Nothobranchius furzeri: one gene and its partners. The protein of the gene in region 2 purifies or fractionates together with the protein of the main gene of each other region. This does not show direct contact. Links are inferred from orthologs where the notes say so. Each region holds a gene or a part of one and is shown on either strand. Other genes may lie near its edges. The genes, in order: serine/threonine-protein kinase Nek9, ambra1b and hspd1.

What was found.
Region 1: the proteins of ambra1b (region 2) and serine/threonine-protein kinase Nek9 purify together in Homo sapiens (affinity purification with mass spectrometry; 3 studies listed by BioGRID and IntAct, with this or other methods). This does not show direct contact. The link is inferred for Nothobranchius furzeri from reciprocal best matches to the Homo sapiens genes AMBRA1 and NEK9.
Region 3: the proteins of ambra1b (region 2) and hspd1 purify together in Homo sapiens (affinity purification with mass spectrometry, with the first as the bait; 3 studies listed by BioGRID). This does not show direct contact. The link is inferred for Nothobranchius furzeri from reciprocal best matches to the Homo sapiens genes AMBRA1 and HSPD1.

The regions. Positions count from the first base shown.
Region 1 is NC_091758.1:32,478,279-32,484,117, forward strand, and holds the start of serine/threonine-protein kinase Nek9, read left to right. Parts: upstream 1-1,954; 5' UTR 1,955-2,187; coding exon 2,188-2,376; intron 2,377-3,764; exon of another isoform or gene 3,765-3,776; coding exon 3,777-3,954; intron 3,955-4,022; coding exon 4,023-4,078; intron 4,079-4,160; coding exon 4,161-4,231; intron 4,232-4,303; coding exon 4,304-4,409; intron 4,410-4,483; coding exon 4,484-4,615; intron 4,616-4,707; coding exon 4,708-4,818; intron 4,819-4,898; coding exon 4,899-4,963; intron 4,964-5,036; coding exon 5,037-5,087; intron 5,088-5,167; coding exon 5,168-5,360; intron 5,361-5,446; coding exon 5,447-5,591; intron 5,592-5,664; coding exon 5,665-5,839. Other genes in the region: asialoglycoprotein receptor 1-like, read right to left, coding at 1-22, 115-269, 350-592, 896-991, 1,177-1,297.
Region 2 is NC_091744.1:80,388,958-80,394,867, forward strand, and holds the start of ambra1b (activating molecule in BECN1-regulated autophagy protein 1B), read right to left. Parts: upstream 3,892-5,910; 5' UTR 3,663-3,891; intron 1,283-3,662; 5' UTR 1,230-1,282; coding exon 1,098-1,229; intron 341-1,097; coding exon 282-340; intron 1-281. UniProt on the Homo sapiens protein: Substrate-recognition component of a DCX (DDB1-CUL4-X-box) E3 ubiquitin-protein ligase complex involved in cell cycle control and autophagy.
Region 3 is NC_091754.1:36,097,211-36,103,196, forward strand, and holds the start of hspd1 (60 kDa heat shock protein, mitochondrial), read right to left. Parts: upstream 3,786-5,986; 5' UTR 3,652-3,785; intron 2,705-3,651; 5' UTR 2,703-2,704; coding exon 2,529-2,702; intron 2,100-2,528; coding exon 1,764-2,099; intron 1,678-1,763; coding exon 1,582-1,677; intron 1,496-1,581; coding exon 1,402-1,495; intron 1,325-1,401; coding exon 1,156-1,324; intron 1,048-1,155; coding exon 948-1,047; intron 860-947; coding exon 614-859; intron 542-613; coding exon 367-541; intron 294-366; coding exon 115-293; intron 27-114; coding exon 1-26. Other genes in the region: MOB-like protein phocein, read left to right, coding at 4,316-4,318. UniProt on the Homo sapiens protein: Chaperonin implicated in mitochondrial protein import and macromolecular assembly. Together with Hsp10, facilitates the correct folding of imported proteins.

The DNA of each region.
Region 1 (5,839 bases), on a different chromosome or scaffold from region 2:
CAATGGTGTGACTCACAAACATCTGCGTAAGCACAAACATGCATTTTAAGTCCCACCTGCAGACATTTATTCCAGCATTTTGCAAATTTTTTCTTACTTATTTTTCTAACTCACCTGTTCCTGCTGATTATCAATCACAACAAGATCAGAACCACGTCTGATGCAGTCTGCTCTGCTGTCTCTCCAGGTCTTCTTCTCATACGGAGAAAAGTAGTAGCAGGATGAGTTGAAATGAGTCCACCCAGAAGAACATCTGCTACAAGATGTACCTGGAACAAAGAAATATGTTTGTGTCGTCTTAACATATTCAAAAATTGTAATCATGAATTGCATTACACATCTGTCTGACCTAGAGCTGACAAGTTGGCCAGTAGGTTGGTATTCTCTGCTTGCAGAGCTTTAAGCTGTCTCTGGTAACCATCATTGATAAGATTCAGCTGATGAACTTGCTCCTTTACTTTTGTATAATTTTGCATTGTCCCTTCAGCTTCAATCCCAGTGCTCTGGTTGCTACAGAGATCGTTCAGCTTGCTGAACAGCTGTAAGGCTGCAGAGTGATAAACCTGAAGGGAGTCCTTTTTGATTTTGGCACCTGAAGAAATGAAAACACACTTGTAAAACAATTGGAGTGGGTCACAAACAATAAACTTGAAGATTGTCATTTATAAATTTGAGGTAAATAAAATTATATTCACAGCCAAGATAAGATTATAATGAAAGTTTTATTGTTTCAGATCTTTACAATTCATGAGGAAAAACCAAAAATTGTATTTTTATCTCTTCTAACTTTAAGGGATGTTGAAACATTTCTGCAAGAGGACTACAACAAAAATAAAAGTACATTTAGCAAATTGCTATAAATGAAATCCTGATGAACATTGTGAATGATACTTACAGTTTGCACTAAGAGCAACAGCAACTATGAGTAACACAACGTTCAGAAGTCCCAGACACAGATTAAGAACGTTGTAGTTTTCAAAACTGTATCCACCTGCAGTAATTAAGCATAAAATGTTGACTTTTGTTAAATTGTTCATGTAATTTTGAACAGTGGGTAGCTTACTTGCTTTATTTAAAATTAAATAGAAAAGAAAAAGCAATTTCTACAACATATTTGATTTTGCAAAGCCTTTGATGGGAATTTCTGTGAACTTTGGTTAAGAAAACAGGTCATACCTTGTCCAAATATTTTGTAGAGTCTGTGGCGGAATTCATTTGCTCGTTTGTATGTTTGCTCCATGACTGTGGTGTTGAAGGAACTGCTGAATAATCTGGTTGGTAACGTTTTTATACTCATGAGCGGAAGATAAGGAATTTGTTCTCCTTTTATGTTTGGTCAGATGTTTTAATAATTTGACTGTTCAGAAGAACTGATGATTTTCTCATTGGCCTCATTTGACACATACTTTTTACAAGTTTGTTAGAATAGTTTTATTAATTTGTTTTACAGGTTTATAATAAGGCATCATTTTAAATTACTTTTCTACGAATAACCAGCACTTTGTTTATTTTTGTCAGGTAAAACAACTGGATTCCTGCTGACATAAATAAAAAAATGTGAATTTAAAAATGCCATAATTTGAACTACATTTTATGCAGATTTGAACATTTTGCGATTGTTTCCGGGTCAAAAGAAACTAGGGCAAACTAGTCAAAATTGAACGGAAATCTTTGTAAACATGTTTGTAACTTGCATACTCAACTCATAAGTTTATTAAAACTATTAAACAGAGTAAAAGTAACTACAAACTTCAGGATTTGGTAGCTGGAGCTGATCTTGGTGGCTAACTTGTTAGCTTAATAAAGCTAAATGTTGAATGGACCGAAAGTGTGCCCGGAAACAAACCCTACAACCTTTCAGAGTAAAGTGTATCACTTTGTGTGTGAATTGTAAACATTTGTTTTGAAAATCCAAAGAAAAGTTATCCAAGTAGAGTCCTTTCAAAGTTTCGTGCTTGATGTTTGTTTAACTACTGTACTTGTACAAATTTTGCTACGATACATGTTTGGTATTCCACGGCACATGTGCTTTAAGGAGTTTATTTTATAGTTTTTACGTAGCTTTATTTCTGGGGCACCATGTTACACGTGCGCGCGGTTTTATGCGAGGTTTTCCAAAAGTGTTTTCGCTAGGCCTCGTCGTGTTATTTCCATCACTGTGGGTCTGGTTAACAATTGTCGGCAGAAATGTCACTGGAGGACTATGAGAGACATTTTGACTCGCTGAATTCGGATTTGGGTGGCGGTGGGTCTGTTGTCAGTGAACGATCAAGTTCAGGCTTATTTGCTGGAGAAGAGGAGAAGTTGCATTACATTCCTATCCGGATCCTCGGGAGGGGGGCTTTTGGTGAAGCAACCCTGTACAGAAGGACAGAAGTAAGTTGGACCCATTTTAGACCCATAAATTTATATTTTTTTAAATCACAGATGACACAAAGTATATATTGTCCCACAATAAGTTTCCTGGTTGATTACAACCCTTCAAACACTTATTTTATAGTAATATACATTAAAGCTCATAAACAACTTGGGACATTTTCCTGGGGATGGTTTTCAGACATACAGTATTTTTGTATTTATACGTAGCTTTTGTGCAAATCAGCTTATTTTGATTGCACACATTGTGTACAATCCACGTTTGTTATATTGAAGAACATAAAACAATCTAAAGAAGCCTTGGAGCAGACATGTCCAATTGTGGCTCAGGGGCCGCTTGGGACCCCTGGAGTAATTTAGTGCGACCCCGTCAGCATTACCAAATTTTAGTTTCATTATCGTTGGTTTTGACTGGATCTTTGGTTGTTTGTTTAGTTTTACTATAATGAGGCCTTAAAACTAAAAAGTGACTTTTTTAAATGAAAGGAATTACATTTTTCTGATCTGCAAGGACTTTTAACTTGATAATTTTGGCCCATTACTTGACAACATTGGACACCCCTGACTTGTTTTGTCATGTTTATGTCAAAATAGAATATAAACAGCTCCTTTTCCATCCTTTAGATCTCTTTGCAGCTAAACTAAAATCCTCTGCTCATTTGTTGTCTGCACAACAGAGGAATACATTATTTTCAGTGAACATAGATATAAGTTATAACTGCATAGAAAGAACCATACAGTACCCAGGTCAAGACCAACGAACATCTACTCCACTAAAGGGTTTGTATTAGCCTGGCAACCTGTCCTATATATGTAAATATATATTCTGGCCACAACGACCCATAGACAGAGCTCAGTTACGAGGCACACGCTATGGCTGTCTTTCAATCTGTCTCTGCATGCAAGTGGAAAACGCTAGGACCAATCAGAGCAATGAACAATGTGATGCATTCATGGCAACTGAAATCAGATAATGTGGCAGTCTGCCACACACACTGTTGAATAAAAAGACATACCTCTATCTGCTTATGCCTCAAAGAAAAGCCCCATTCTACATCATCCAGAGTTGATGCCAAAGCTGTTTTAATTGAGCGCCGTTCCTGGGCTGCTGCCATCTTTGTTGTTTTGCTCTGTTGTCATAAAAAAAAGAGCTCTGCCGTCATGGTACTAAGCCCGCTCCAACATCTAGAGTGGGCTGGCCTAAATTTAGCTGAGCCAATGGTAGCCTTGCTGAGGCTACTATGTGCAGCTAGACCAACCAACTAGGCTAAATCTTCTGCTACTGCTACGGTTGGTCTAGATTTCTTGGCTAGGTCTGTTTGGTGGGCCGTCCAAAAACATGAGAGACAGAAAAGAACAATTTGTTTGAACCTTACTTGGTAATTTAGTATTCTGTCTAGGACAACTCTCTGGTCGTATGGAAAGAGGTGGACCTGAACTCGCTCTCAGAAAAGGAGCGTCGAGATGTCACGAACGAAATCAGCATCCTCTCCATGTTGGAGCACAACAACATCATCGCCTACTTCAATCACTTCATGGATAAAAACACTCTGCTCATTGAGTTGGAGTATTGCAATGGTAATTAATTGGTTTATTCTTGATGATCATCATGTGTAAACAAATGCTAACACAGGTTATAATTGCAGGAGGAAATCTGTATGATAAAATTGTTCAGCAGAAAGGGAAACTTTTCACTGAGGAGGTACGAGAGCATCCTTGTAGGTGTTTTATTGAAAACACAACCTTTTTGATTGAAGTGAGTAATATTTCAAATGTTTCCGTAGCTTGTTGTTTGGTATCTGTACCAAATCGCCTCAGCAGTGGCACATATTCACAACGCCGGGGTCATACACAGGTACGATCTGTAAACTATGTGAATATTCTATGTTTTTCTTTTTTGTGAATAAATGGTCTTTTGTTCTTTTAGAGACATCAAAACTCAAAACATATTTCTGACCAAGACCAACCTCATTAAACTGGGCGACTACGGCCTCGCCAAGAAGCTAGGCTCTGAGTTTTCGATGGCAGAGACGGTACGTCCATCAGGATATTTTATGTGAGCAGAAATGACCCAGCATTGATCTCGACCTGTTCTTGTTTGGTCCAGTGTGTGGGAACTCCGTATTACATGTCCCCTGAAGTGTGCCAAGGCACAAAGTACAACTTCAAGTCCGACATTTGGGCAGTGGGCTGTGTACTTTATGAAGTTCTGACATTTAAAAGAACATTTGATGCAACGGTACGTCTAACTAGCGTCTCTTCTTTATTATGTCTATCATTACATCGGATCGTTCTTCCTCTGTGATGCATTTGTAGTTTGTTTCCACGTAGAATGCTCTGAACCTCTGTGTGAAAATAGTCCAAGGAAACTGGACTATGGAAGTGAACTCGGATCTTTATTCAAGTGAAATAATCAAGTTGATTTATGATTGCCTCAATCAAGTGAGTAGGAGAAATATCCGTTCTTGTTTTGGATAAATAAAACTGACTTACTTGAGAATGAGGGGATCTTTGTGTTGCAGGATCCTGCAAAGAGGCCCACAGCTGAGCAGATCCTGGATCAGCCATTCATCGCCTGTTGCCGACAGTAAGATTTTATAAAAGCGATTTTTAAAATTTTCTACTAGTAAACATGAATGACTCTGATTACTTTTGAACAGGGAGCTGGAAGAGCGAGTTGTCATGCTTAATTCTGCCATGAAGAAACCAAAGTAAGTTCACATCCACCATTTAAAGCCTCCCTGATATTGTGCGAGTTTGATGGCACTGGTTTGTTCCGTCTCATCCAAAGGCTGAGCACAGTGACTGAGACACCCGTTGCTGTGGTGACCACGCGCACAAGGGAGGTGTATTTTTGGGGAGGAGGAAAATTCACCCCCCAGAAGCTTGACTCGTTCAAAGGAGGCAGCAGTGCCCAGCATGTTTGTGCAGGAGAGAGTCACTTTGCTGTGGTGACTGTGGAAAAAGAGCTGTTTACCTGGGCTGTAAGGAGGAATTCCTCACTTTCTAACAGATCTACTGGTCTGTTTAATCTTTACTGATCTATTTTTTTTTCTTTTTACACTTTTAGAATGTTCAAGGTGGAGCCAAGATGGTGGGCCAGCTGGGGCAGGGGGACCAGGCGTCCTACCGACAGCCGAAGAGGGTGGAGAAGCTCCAAGGGAAGGCGATACGTCAGGTGGCGTGTGGGGCCGACTTCACTGCCTGTGTGACAGGTGGGTTGAGAGAGCTTCGTGCTAAAACACGAACACGGGGAACTCTTCATTTACTATTCTGCTTCCTTCACAGACGAAGACCAGCTCTACATGTTTGGGTCGGACTATTACGGCTGCATCGGAGTCGAGGGCGAGATGGGGATGGAGGTCTTGGAGCCGGTGCTTCTAGAGTTTTTCGTGGAGCGGTGTGTCCGGCAGGTTTCCTGTGGAGACAACCACGTGGTGGTGCTGACTCATAATGATGGCAT
Region 2 (5,910 bases):
CTCCCGACGCGCAGGGGCTCGTCACCTGCTGTCGTTTCCGAGGACTGCATCTTATTATCACGTGACAGCGACTAATCGATGACAAAGTCACTACAGAGCAGTGAGGTCGACTAGTTCATACAACCCCTACTAGACACGTATATGTGTTACTGAAAGTGTGGATAAAAAAATCCAGTTCAGAATGCAACAAAATGATGTGTGTGTGTGTGTGTGTGTGTGTGTGTGTGTGTGTGTGTGTGTGTGTGTGTGTGTGTGTGTGTGTGTGTGTGTGTGTGTCTCACCTGTCAGGACTGAAGGCCAGCAGGAACGTTGAGCGAGGGCTATCTGGGAGCTCCACTTTCTGTTACAAACACAAACAAACACAACTTTTCTTCTTTGTTTCAAACCTCAAAGTTTTCTAACTATAAAATCCAACTATTTCAATAGAAACACCCAGAAGTGTTACTCCGACTGAAGTTACACATCCCCACTATCTTCTGGTGTAAAGCAATAACGTCATGAGTGAGGATATTTGCAGCTGTGGCTCGTTAAATGCAATATTGCAACTTTGGTGCATAAAGGGTTCATTTTACAGTCCTCAGCAAGTCTTATAAACCTGCACATTTATAATTATTACTTTAATTTATCATTTATTATTTAATGTACACGAGTATGCTCAAGTGAAAAGTTTGATTTTTAGTTTTAATTTATATTGTGTGTTGTTGTTATGTCAGTGCTACATGAACACTTTCATGGTTTTGTAACTGATTTACTGCAATGTCTCGACTTTAGTGAGGTTAGTACACATCGTAGCCAGAAATAATATGGTTCTAATTACTGACATGATCATTTCTTCTGGTGTTTTGGTTTTGGTTTCCTCATTTTCCATTTTGGCCAAGAATTGTCATTTCGGTGCATTCCTAGTTTGACCTTTTCGGCTCCTATCCTTTGTCACAGGTGATGCTGTGACGACCAAAAAGGCCAAAATAAAGCTTTTACTACTCTGAGTAAAAGATAACCAAAAAATGGAATTCAAATAAATGTAAAAAATAACATTTCTGAAACAGAAAATGTCAATTTATTGTTAATAACTAATAGCACAATCATTTCAAACACACCTGACTCTGCCATTTCATCCAGCGGACCTTCTCCTCCACCAGCAGCTGCAGGAGCCTCTGAGAGCCAAAGTTCTGGGACCCCCGCTCCCTGCTGGACAGGATCTGGACCGAGTTTCTCTGATGGGACGTCATCCTGGAAATGAGGGGGGTTGACTGATTATGTGACTCCCACTGAAGTCAGTCAGCTATCGCCATGCAGAGGATGAGAGAAAAAAAGCAGCTCTTCAGTGGGAGCACAGACTTAGGGGAGTTGAACCAGCAGTTCACTCTGTCCAGCACGGAGCTGGGATGTTGCATGGAGCTCAACACCTAAACTAGTGTGTGGAGTAAAAAACTATCAGAGGCTCAAACTAAAGCCCAGAATCCAGAGAGGTCCTCTACAGTCAAGGGACAGTGGAAATGAGCCGACACATCCTGAGCATAAACCATGTATAATATCCACTAAATTTAAGAAGACTTGCTTTTCTACATAAAACTGCAGTGTGCCAAATAAATAAGTCAAATAACAAAACTGCGCCAACTGTTGAATGAAAAAAAAACATGGACAAATAACACTATTGCTCATGGAAGTTCTCTACATCTCAACTTTGAAGTTTTCTTTGTCACACCAACATGTTTACAGATGTGGGCTTAAGGGAGGACCGCTGGCAACTTCCAACTGTGCCGAACAACCTTTCAGATGCAGAGCTGGTTGCTGGAGTGCAGAGGTATTTCTTAGCTAATCTGCTGATGCTGGGAAAGTTTGCAGTGTGAACTTTCCATCACAAAACAGGATCACACTGACTGGTGGGCTATTCATAGAAGTTCATCTGCAGTTACATCTGTCTTGCCACTAACAGGTCCCTTCAAAAAGCTCCTGAGACTCTTCTTTGGCGTTTTAGCAGCTCCCTGACTTGTTTGGTCTACAGCAGGTGTAGGAGGCGTTTCTGAAACACCTGTGGCTGTGCTACCTTGGCATGACATTCTAGTTCACGCGTGACCTGAACTTTGACGGCTTCACTCTCACTGATATATTCTGTAAGAAAAGGTGGATGAAGAAGAGAAGCCATGCTAACAAGCCTCTCTGTTACGCTGTTTTTGCTTCTGCTCATGTAGTCGAGTATTGTTGTTTTGATTAGTGGCCGGGCGATATATTCAGTTTGTTCTCTGTTGGCCAAAGTTGTTTTTAAAAACCAATTTAAACATTTCAAAAATCAGGCATCTTTGTACACCACTGCCACCACAATTCTAGCATAGAACCTTCCTTTTACTCACATAGTTTTATGCTAAGCTAAAGCTAAGCGTACTGCTTCCAGATCAAGAGAACGACGGAGCTTGTTAGCTACAAAATGCGTTCCCTCACTTATCTAAATCTAACAAAATTTTACTTCTGAGTGGAATCTACTGTTAGGTTTGGTTTGCATATTTTTTTGTAAAGTTTAGATAGTATTTCATACTACAATTTGGTAGTGTGCTTTACTTTGTGATTTGTTTTTACTTGAAGATTCTACCTCGACCAGCCACTATTTTGCACCATTATTCTGGGAACTGTTTATTTTAAACACTTTAATCTGTTTTATTTTCTATTGTTCTGAAACCGCTAGCTCATTGTATGATACCATATGTATACACATATATATATATATATATATATATATATATATATATGTATGTATGTATATATATGTATACGTAAGAAACCTTGCAGCAGCATTCTGTACCAATTGGAGGCGTACCACTGAAGAGGAGGGAATACCATATAAAAGAGAATTGGCATAGTCCAGACGTGTACAAAAGCATGAACACCTGACTGAAGATCTTTTTTGTTCAGGACAGATTTTAGTTTGGCCAGCCGGCAAAGATTAAAGAAACACGACCTGACTACCTGATTTATTCCATGATTTCTTTATTAACTACAATTGCTTATTTGTACCATGCTTTAATTTCAGCGTGCAATGTGACATTAAACTGCATCATTTCCAATAAAAACTGGAAAAATTGGGGCGTTCCAAATCTTTTGACAGGTAGCGTAGTATGTATGTCGATCAAAATAAAGTACGATGAAAAGTAATGAGTGGGTTCAACACTAACCTGAAAGATGGAAAATGATTTAAAATGTTACCTCAGACAGACTTTCTGAAATGTTTGAGCATTTTAAAGTGTTTCTGAGTGTTTTTCTACCTTTTCTCTTCTGTATAAATCAACTGTTACCTGTTAATAGAGACAGAAACCACCAAACAATGAGGCCTAACCCTACCCTGTAACTAACCCTGATCTAACCAGTAACTCACCATCTCAAAACCCGACACTTACATAGGTAGTGCGTTATCCAACTTGTGATTGCACAAACAACCCTTAACTATTTCAGGTTTCAGTCTGATTATTCCTCTCCAGGCTCAAATACATCCTTACGTTGTAGATTGCAGACATTTTCAGTATTTAACCTGTAGAGATCACAGCTCTGTTTACATATTAGTACATTTAAGCCGCAGATATTTTGGCTTCAGATATAAAACATGTTTTACTACAAACAGTTGGACTTCACGTATAAAATCCTGCAATGAAAGCGCAGATACTTTGACTTACCTTTCTTTAAAATCGGCTCCGCAGCTCCGCCATCAACAGACGCTAACAGGCTATCTTCGGTTAGCTCCTTAGCTAGTTCGGCCAAAAATGGGAAATGCGGCTGCTAACAAAACTAAATCTTTAACGGTAACATCCGCGTATCAGTGTTGTTCAACCGAGCACCGTCCGCTGAAGTCAGCGGGAAACGTTCATTTTCATAAAAGGAAAAGTAATCTAGGGTGTTTTTAGGCTTTGGTCCGATGTTTGATTAGCTGCCTAAAGACGGTGCTGCGTAACCAGTTAGCTGCTAACAAGCAGCTGCGCAGGTTTATTAACAGAGCACCGAGTTGGATCAACGGATCATTTTATGTATAAATATCAACCAACTGTGGATATCAAACAGTTTGAGTAAAAAAAAAGGATTTGCTAATTCTGATTTACACAACTAAACCCGATGACAAATCCAATGTATTTATTTATCCTTCACATTGAGAAGTTGCTCTTCTATTTATTTAAACCCCCTAGAAACAGGTGCTTCTTGGGCTTCAAACGCTGAATATTTGGTAAAATGTCAGAAATAAAACCGTGATCAAACACATGTGCACTAGCGTTTTTTATTATAGATAGACTCACTGTGGCCAGATCAGGCAGTGCTGAAAAGGTTACTTTTAAAATGCATTCCACAGAGTACAGAAACCACGCCCCAAAATGTCATTTGTAAGGAGTTATTCAGTGTGAGTAACGCACTCTAAATATTTTAATTACTTAATAAGATTTTTAAAACTACATGAATGTAGGAATCACATTCACATCTTCCTGCAAATTCTTTTTTTTTTTTGTTTGTTTGTTTGTTTGTCTCTACCAATTGGATTCCTGGCCTGCCAGACTCCTCTGTTTTATTCTGCACAGAGAATTAAACTGCAGAATTAAACAGAGGACGAGTCTGGCAGGCCAGGCTACCTTTTGGCCTAAATCTCTCTGAATAGACCGTATATCTGCTGTTTATACTTTATCCTTGAAACATGACAAAATATACATTTGCACAAACCTGAGTACCAGCCTGGTTCCCTCGCCAACCAGCTGCTTTTCCTTGAACTTTTATACATTATGACACCTTCCAACCATGAACGTAAATGTTTGTTATTGAGATGCTCTGTGAAAAACCAACACAAAGTAGCTCAACATTGTGAAGTGGAATGAAATGGATACATGGTTTTCAAAAATCTAAGTAAATTAAAATCTGAAGTGTGTGTATTTGCAGCACAGTTTCACTCCACTTCACATTTTTATGCTTTGTTGTGTTGGTATTAATAGATATTAAAATAAAAATTCAGTTTATTTATAAAGCACTGATTAAAAACAATGTGTACCAACGTGCTGTACAGTAAAAACACATGCTAAATGATAAATAAACCATACGAGACACAACATTTGCAGAAAAATCAACTATTTTGGTCAAACACAAAGCAGGTGAGTGACCGTAAGTGAATCAGTTTGCAGATCTGGGACCAAAGCTTCGTCAGCAGACTGCGATCAGCTGACGTAAGTTTGCAAAGGGGTGTGTGCCATCAGCAGGTCAGACAGATAGCACAGCTCACGACCATTTAGGTGTTTATAAATACATAAAAGAATTTTTAAATGACTTCAATAACAGAGTGGGAGCCAATGCCACTTCCACATCTGGCCTGGTCCTGCCCGGGCTGGGGGGGGGGGGGGGTGTTGTTTGGACACACTTTTCAGGAACGTTGGAATCTCTGAGAACGTGGGCGGGATAAAGATGAGTGGAAAAGTACATGGTGCTATTAAACTACCAGCTCAGTGTCCTAGTGGTATGAATGTCCGCCCTGGGACTGGGAGGTCATGGGTTCACATCCTGGTCAGGTCATACCAAAGACTTTAAAAAAATAGACCCAACACCTCCCTGCTTAAGACTCAGCATTAGGGGTTGGATTGGGGGATTAAACCACCAAATAGTTCCTGAGCGCAGCTGTGTCTGCAGCTTACCGCTCCCCCTGAGGATGGGTCACATGCAGAGAACACACTTCACATCACACACACACATAAGTGTGTGTGACAACTAATGGGACTTTAATTTTACTTAATTAATAATTAATTAACAAAGACAGTGTTGCTTTCGGAGATGCTGATATTGCATCTAGACTGCTGTGTGTGTGTGTGTGTGTGTGTGTGCTCCTCACAGCAGTCTCAGTGAGAGAGACAGAGACGGCTTCAGTCAGAGGAAATGTTTACTCCTCAGTATCCAGAATGA
Region 3 (5,986 bases), on a different chromosome or scaffold from region 2:
GCATCCAAAAGCGCTGTTCTCACCACCTGTAGGAAGGAGAAAGAGGTCAGCTCTTCTGCTGAACACCGCCACCTGCTGCCATGGGGAGAGATGACCGTAATTTCTGTTGCGTACCTTGGTAGGGTCGATGATGCCTTTCTCTACCATGTTGACAAACTCTCCTTGCATGGCATCATAGCCTATTTCTGGTGGTCCCTGCAAGATCTTCTCCACCACCAGAGAACCCTCCACTCCAGCATTTTTGGCGATGGTCAAGGCAGGAATACGAAGCGACCGTCTGATGATGTCCACACCTGAACGGAAGACACAAACTTAGGACCGTAGCAGTTCCATGAACACACGAAGAGCCAACTGCACTCTACTCACCGATCTTCTGGTCACTATTGGCAGTTTTGAGGGCATCAAGTGCAGGAATACAGCGCAGCAGAGCACAGCCTCCACCGAGCACGATGCCCTCCTCCACTGCAGCCCGCGTGGCGTTCAGAGCGTCGGTCACACGGTCCTTCTTCTCATTCACCTCTACGTCACTTGTTCCTCCCACCTAAAGAGCAACAAAGGTGTCAGTTTTGTTGTTCCTGCAGAAAAAACATCTGTTAGCAGCAGCAAGTCAAACCTTCAGCACAGCCACACCATCCGATAGCTTCGCCAGCCTCTCATTGAGCTTCTCCTTTTCATAGTCACTGGTGGTGTGCTCCAGCTGCTCAGCAATCTCTGCTGCGCGTTTCTCTATGTCAGCAGGGTTGCCTCCACCCTTCAGTAGCAGGGTATCATCTTTGGTGATCTGCACCTCACCGACTTTGCCAAAGTCATGAGCCTGGATGTCCTCAAGAGCCAGACCCAGAGCTTCATCACCAAACACCTGCAAAAGGGAGGAGAAAATCAATAACATACAGCGAGGATCGAACTCCAGCCTTAAAAATAACGCTGAATCAGAGAGTTGGACTAACAGTGCCCCCGGTGGCGATGGCCATATCCTTCAGCTGATTCTTCCTGTTGTCACCGAAGCCTGGAGCTTTAACAGCGACCACCTGAAGCCCAACCTTTAACCTGAAAGGCACACCAATGATAAGTAACCATCTGTTTAAATCCTTACGCCATGACGAGGTCCAACACTTCACCAGGTTCTGCTGGGATCATGTAACAAACAAGACGCACCTGTTAAGAACCAGGGTGCTCAGGGCTTCTCCGTCCACATCCTCAGCAACAATCACCAGAGGTTTACGATGCTGGTTGGCGATCTCTAACGCTGGCACAATGCTCTGGACACTGGAGATCTTCTTTTCACTAAGCAACAGGTAAGCATCCTGGAACTCACACTTCTGGCCTGAGCAGAGAGAGAACACACATGAGATCAGTTAAACATCAAAAACCACCCCTACCACGAAGACTGATTTGCCTTACCTTTTGCGGTGTTGATGAAGTAAGGCGAGATGTAACCACGGTCAAACTTCATACCCTCGATGATCTCCAGCTCGTCCTGCAGAGTCTTCCCGTCCTAATTTGAGACACGTGAAACATTACCCATGGCCTGTATGCGTTTTAAACCTGATGACCAGCCATCAAAGGGAGTCAATGACCAACCTTTACTGTGATGACTCCTTTGCGACCAACTTTCTTCATGGCGTTGGATATAATGTTACCGATCTCTACGTCTCCATTGGCAGAGATCGTAGCAACCTGAAATGAGATTTCACATTTAACCATCAGGTTTACTTTCCAGACACTCAGGTGAGCATGAACAATTAAGCCCAACCTCATCATACCTGTGCTATCTCCTCTGGAGTCGTAACAGGCTTGGACAGATTCTTCAGCTCGTTGATGACAGCTTCCACAGCCATCATGACCCCACGGCGGATCTCAACAGGGTTTGCACCTTTGCTGATGTTATCAAAGCCTTCCTTAGCAATGGCGCGAGCCAGCACCGTAGCTGTGGTTGTGCCATCGCCAGCCTCTTCATTGGTGTTGTTAGCCACATCCTGCACAAGCTTGGCTCCAATGTTCTTGTACTTGTCCTTCAGGTCAATACTTTTGGCCACCGTCACTCCATCCTTGGTGACCTTGGGACTTCCCCAGCTCTGCTCAATGATCACAGTGCGACCCTGAAATGAGAAAAGTGGAGAAAAACTTTATAACAAACACCATGGTTAAACATCTTTATACAATGTCGCTTTTGCCTAAAATATTTGTTGGCAAGAAGATAAATTACTATTCTTTTAGAGGTCTTAATATTTTTTTCTGTGAATGTGCTGTGGTCTCTAGAATGAACGCCTTGTGAGGTCTTCTGTGGAATAAAAGCTCTCAGACTTCTGTTTTAATGGTTAGCATCTACTAGCCGAGATGTGCTCTACTCTCTCCTGGCCACTAAACCAAAACAGCCTTCCCCAGCCTTTTTCTCAGTAAATGCAGAAAACTTTTGGTTTAAGACTATTTTTATGTTCAGACTGCATGCAAATCTCAGTGACTGATCATATTTCAAAAATAAAAGACAATAAAGCAATACATGTTAGAATTTTTATTTTTTTTTTTACCTTCGGACCCATTGTGACAGCCACTGCATCAGCCAGCAGGTCCACCCCCTGCAGCATGAGGGCACGGGCATCAGCCCCAAACTTCACATCTTTGGCGTAGGCTCGTGTGAGGTGAGGAGCTAGAACCCGACTCAAAGGCCTGACCTGCTTCATAATTGTGGGTAAACGAAACATCTCTTAAAAAAAGAAAAGAAAAAAAGATTAATAAAGTTGCACTTCAATAATTGACCAACTGTGATAAATGGTATGGACCAAATTATACAGAATAAATGGATAACTAAAGTATCTGGTCCTGGAATAAATACATATTTCACGTGTAACAGCTAGCCATGAGAGTTTATGTTCTTAGAAATGTAATGGCTTTAAATGCTTGCCTAATGATTTATCCACCTAACAGTTAAACATGAACACAGCTCCTAATCATTCCTGATTCTGATCACCATTTTTGTCATCCTATTTGAACTTATTCCCCATCTCCTGCTATTATTCAACACACTGTCAGATTGATGATGGAACATTTTAACTAGTCTGGTAGTTAAACTGATCACGTGACATTTATCTGTAGAACCACTCAGAAAGATTTCAAAGTTCTCTGAAAAGTTCAAAGAAAGTTCTTAGAAAATAATTTTATGTTAAACAAACGAGAACGTGTAACGAAACTTTAGAGAATTTCAAAATATATATATTTTTAAATATTTTTTGGTTGTTGCCCCCACGTGCGCTGCAGCTCGTGCCTGACAAGGTCAAAAGAAGCACGCCGCACGCGCAGAGCAGCCTCCTCATCCCTACACCTTGAAGGGGAGTATTAACTCCTGCCGCGAGTACAATCACGTGGGCCAAATCAAACTGATCCAATTCATTATGAAATAGAAGAAAACGGAATCCGTTACAGTGGAAGGGTTAGCATTAAACAACGCGGTTACGAGGATATTCCAAATGTGTGTTAAAGGCCGTAGAGCCGTTTCAACCAAAATGTCCTTGTAGTTTGGCCGGAGTGCAGCGAGCTCAGATGAACAGCTATCTCACTATGAGTTAACATTAAGACAACATATGCAGACGGAAGCAGCTGCCAATGAGACACACGTCGTGGTTTGGCCATTTAAAACAACTCTTTTCGACTTACCTGCGAGGTTAGAGCGTGTAACTTGCTAAGACTGTCAGGCAGCTTGGTGTACGGAGGAGAGGAGGAACAGCCGAACAGAAGAGCAAGAGCAGCTACAGGACTGCACATGGTCTACTACATCCGGGTTATTTACCGGGCCGCCCGGGACTCTGTATAAACATACCTGTGTAAACTAAGCGTTACATTTCGTTTAATGACATGATTCACATCAATAATCCTTCATTAAACTGATTTATTTTCAATGTATTCCTGCGTTCTGACCAACTGTGTGATTGTTTACTTGTCTTTTGTAGAAATAATTGTTATCTATGCTCGTTCCCGGTCTGACAGTTCCAGAATGTTCTCGTGCGCAATTGGAGGAAAAAACAAAGGTCAAAGTTGACATTGTGCAACATTGCGCCTGCTTAGAGAACTCAATTTCAATTAAATAAATGAGAAATCATTTGTGATTAACTTTACTCCATTCTAATCTACGCGAATAACGCGAGTGTTTATGAAAGAGAGTTTCGTAATCCGCCTTGGGTGTACCAGAACTTTCCATGAGGAGGGCTTTAGTGCGCATGCGTTTTCAGGATCTTTCCTCGTGTGTAGTGACTCCTTTTCAGACAGGTTCTGATTGCTGTGCTGCTCGTCTCCGGCTCTCTACCCATTCGCACGTGTAGAAATGGTAAGAACTAGCACGTAAAATGGTTTCATTCAAGCGGAATGCACAGGGACCTGTTAGAAAGGCAGAAATGGATGTCTGTGGGTTTTTTAGTCTAAAATCTCACTGCAAAAATGTCAGTAGCTAACGTAGAGAATGCTAACATCCACTCACAAGGTCACGTTGCCAAGCAGAGAGCAGTGAAGGAGCTTTACCTCATGTTTGAGTTAATGATACTCCTGAGATCGGAGGGAGACAGTTGCATCTGTATCAGGTTGGCTAGACAGCACAACAACGTGGTGCATTTCATTTACTCATATTTAAAAGTTAAATTCACCAACAAACCTGCGATCTTTTTTCTGCGGGGGTTGAAACCCCTCCGAGGGTAGTTTTAAAAAGGTGGCAAACTGAATTGCAGGTGAAACTGGACAAATTTAAACTCGGTGCAAAAGTTAATTTATTTCAGTAAAGGCGAAATGGGCCCAAACCAACGTATGCATGCTTCTTCACATGTCTGACATTTCTCAGTTTAAAATCCTTGTTTTTATCTCATGGTCTATGATTTTGAATTTGGGGTTTCCATCAGCTGTCATCATCACAAATATACCAAGTAAAGGCTTTTGCATGTAATGAGTCTATCTTGCATACTATTGTCATTTTTTAAGCTGAAGTACTGAAATTAATTAAAATTTGCACCATATTCTAAATTTTAGTTTTACCTGTACATGGGTGACCTTTGATTATTCTTAGCGTAACCATAACCCTTATTCATATAATTTTACAATATTTTCAGAGAAAAATAATGGTAAAACAACAAATGTAGGTATACTACACAGCCACAGTCTAAATTAAGCTGCTTTGTTAGCATTTAAAAAATATTTTATCTTTCCACTCATTATGTTTATGCTTTGATTAGGGATGTAAGAAAATAACGATACAATAACTATTGCAATAGTTTGTGGTATGATTCTGAATTTCTGTTAAAAGCAGTGCATCATATTTTTTTTATTAAGCATGTGCATACATAAAATCATTTACTGTCTTTCTTTTGTTGCGGTGCAATTCAAACTCTGACTGCTAGGTGGCAGCAGTTTTTACCACCGTCGTTCTGGTGGAACCATGAGATTTCACCATAACACAGGGTGTGTCTTGAAGCAGAGCTCAGCTGAGGCCTGAGTTTTCTAATTAAGTCCAGTCTTTAAAAATGCTAAATTCTTCTGGCTTTTAGCATAGTAATACGTTGTATCTTTTCTCTTGTATTGCGATGTATATCGTATTGCCAGATTCTTGCCGATGCACACCTCTAGTTCTAACAGACATGTTTGTAGACGCCCCATGGACTGGCGCTGCCGTAGTGGCCAGCTACCATGCTAGATAGGTCTCCATTCGCCCCTAGTACATTCATTTCTACCGAGGAAGGTGCTTACTCAACTAAAAACACATTTTATCAAGCTTTTTCACAAAACCAGATAATTGAAATATAAATAAACTAAATAAATGAAAGTAAATTAAAATATAAAGTCCCATCAGGTAGGTTAGAAAAGTCAGTAGTAATCCCACGTGATCTGTTTTCAACAGCACGCATGTTGTTGCAACAGTAGGCTGCCCAAAACGGGCGTAGTTGCCCATTCTGCATTGACTTTGGAGAGTGAGAAGACCCATCCAATTTGATGCTGCTATGCTCTCCAGCGC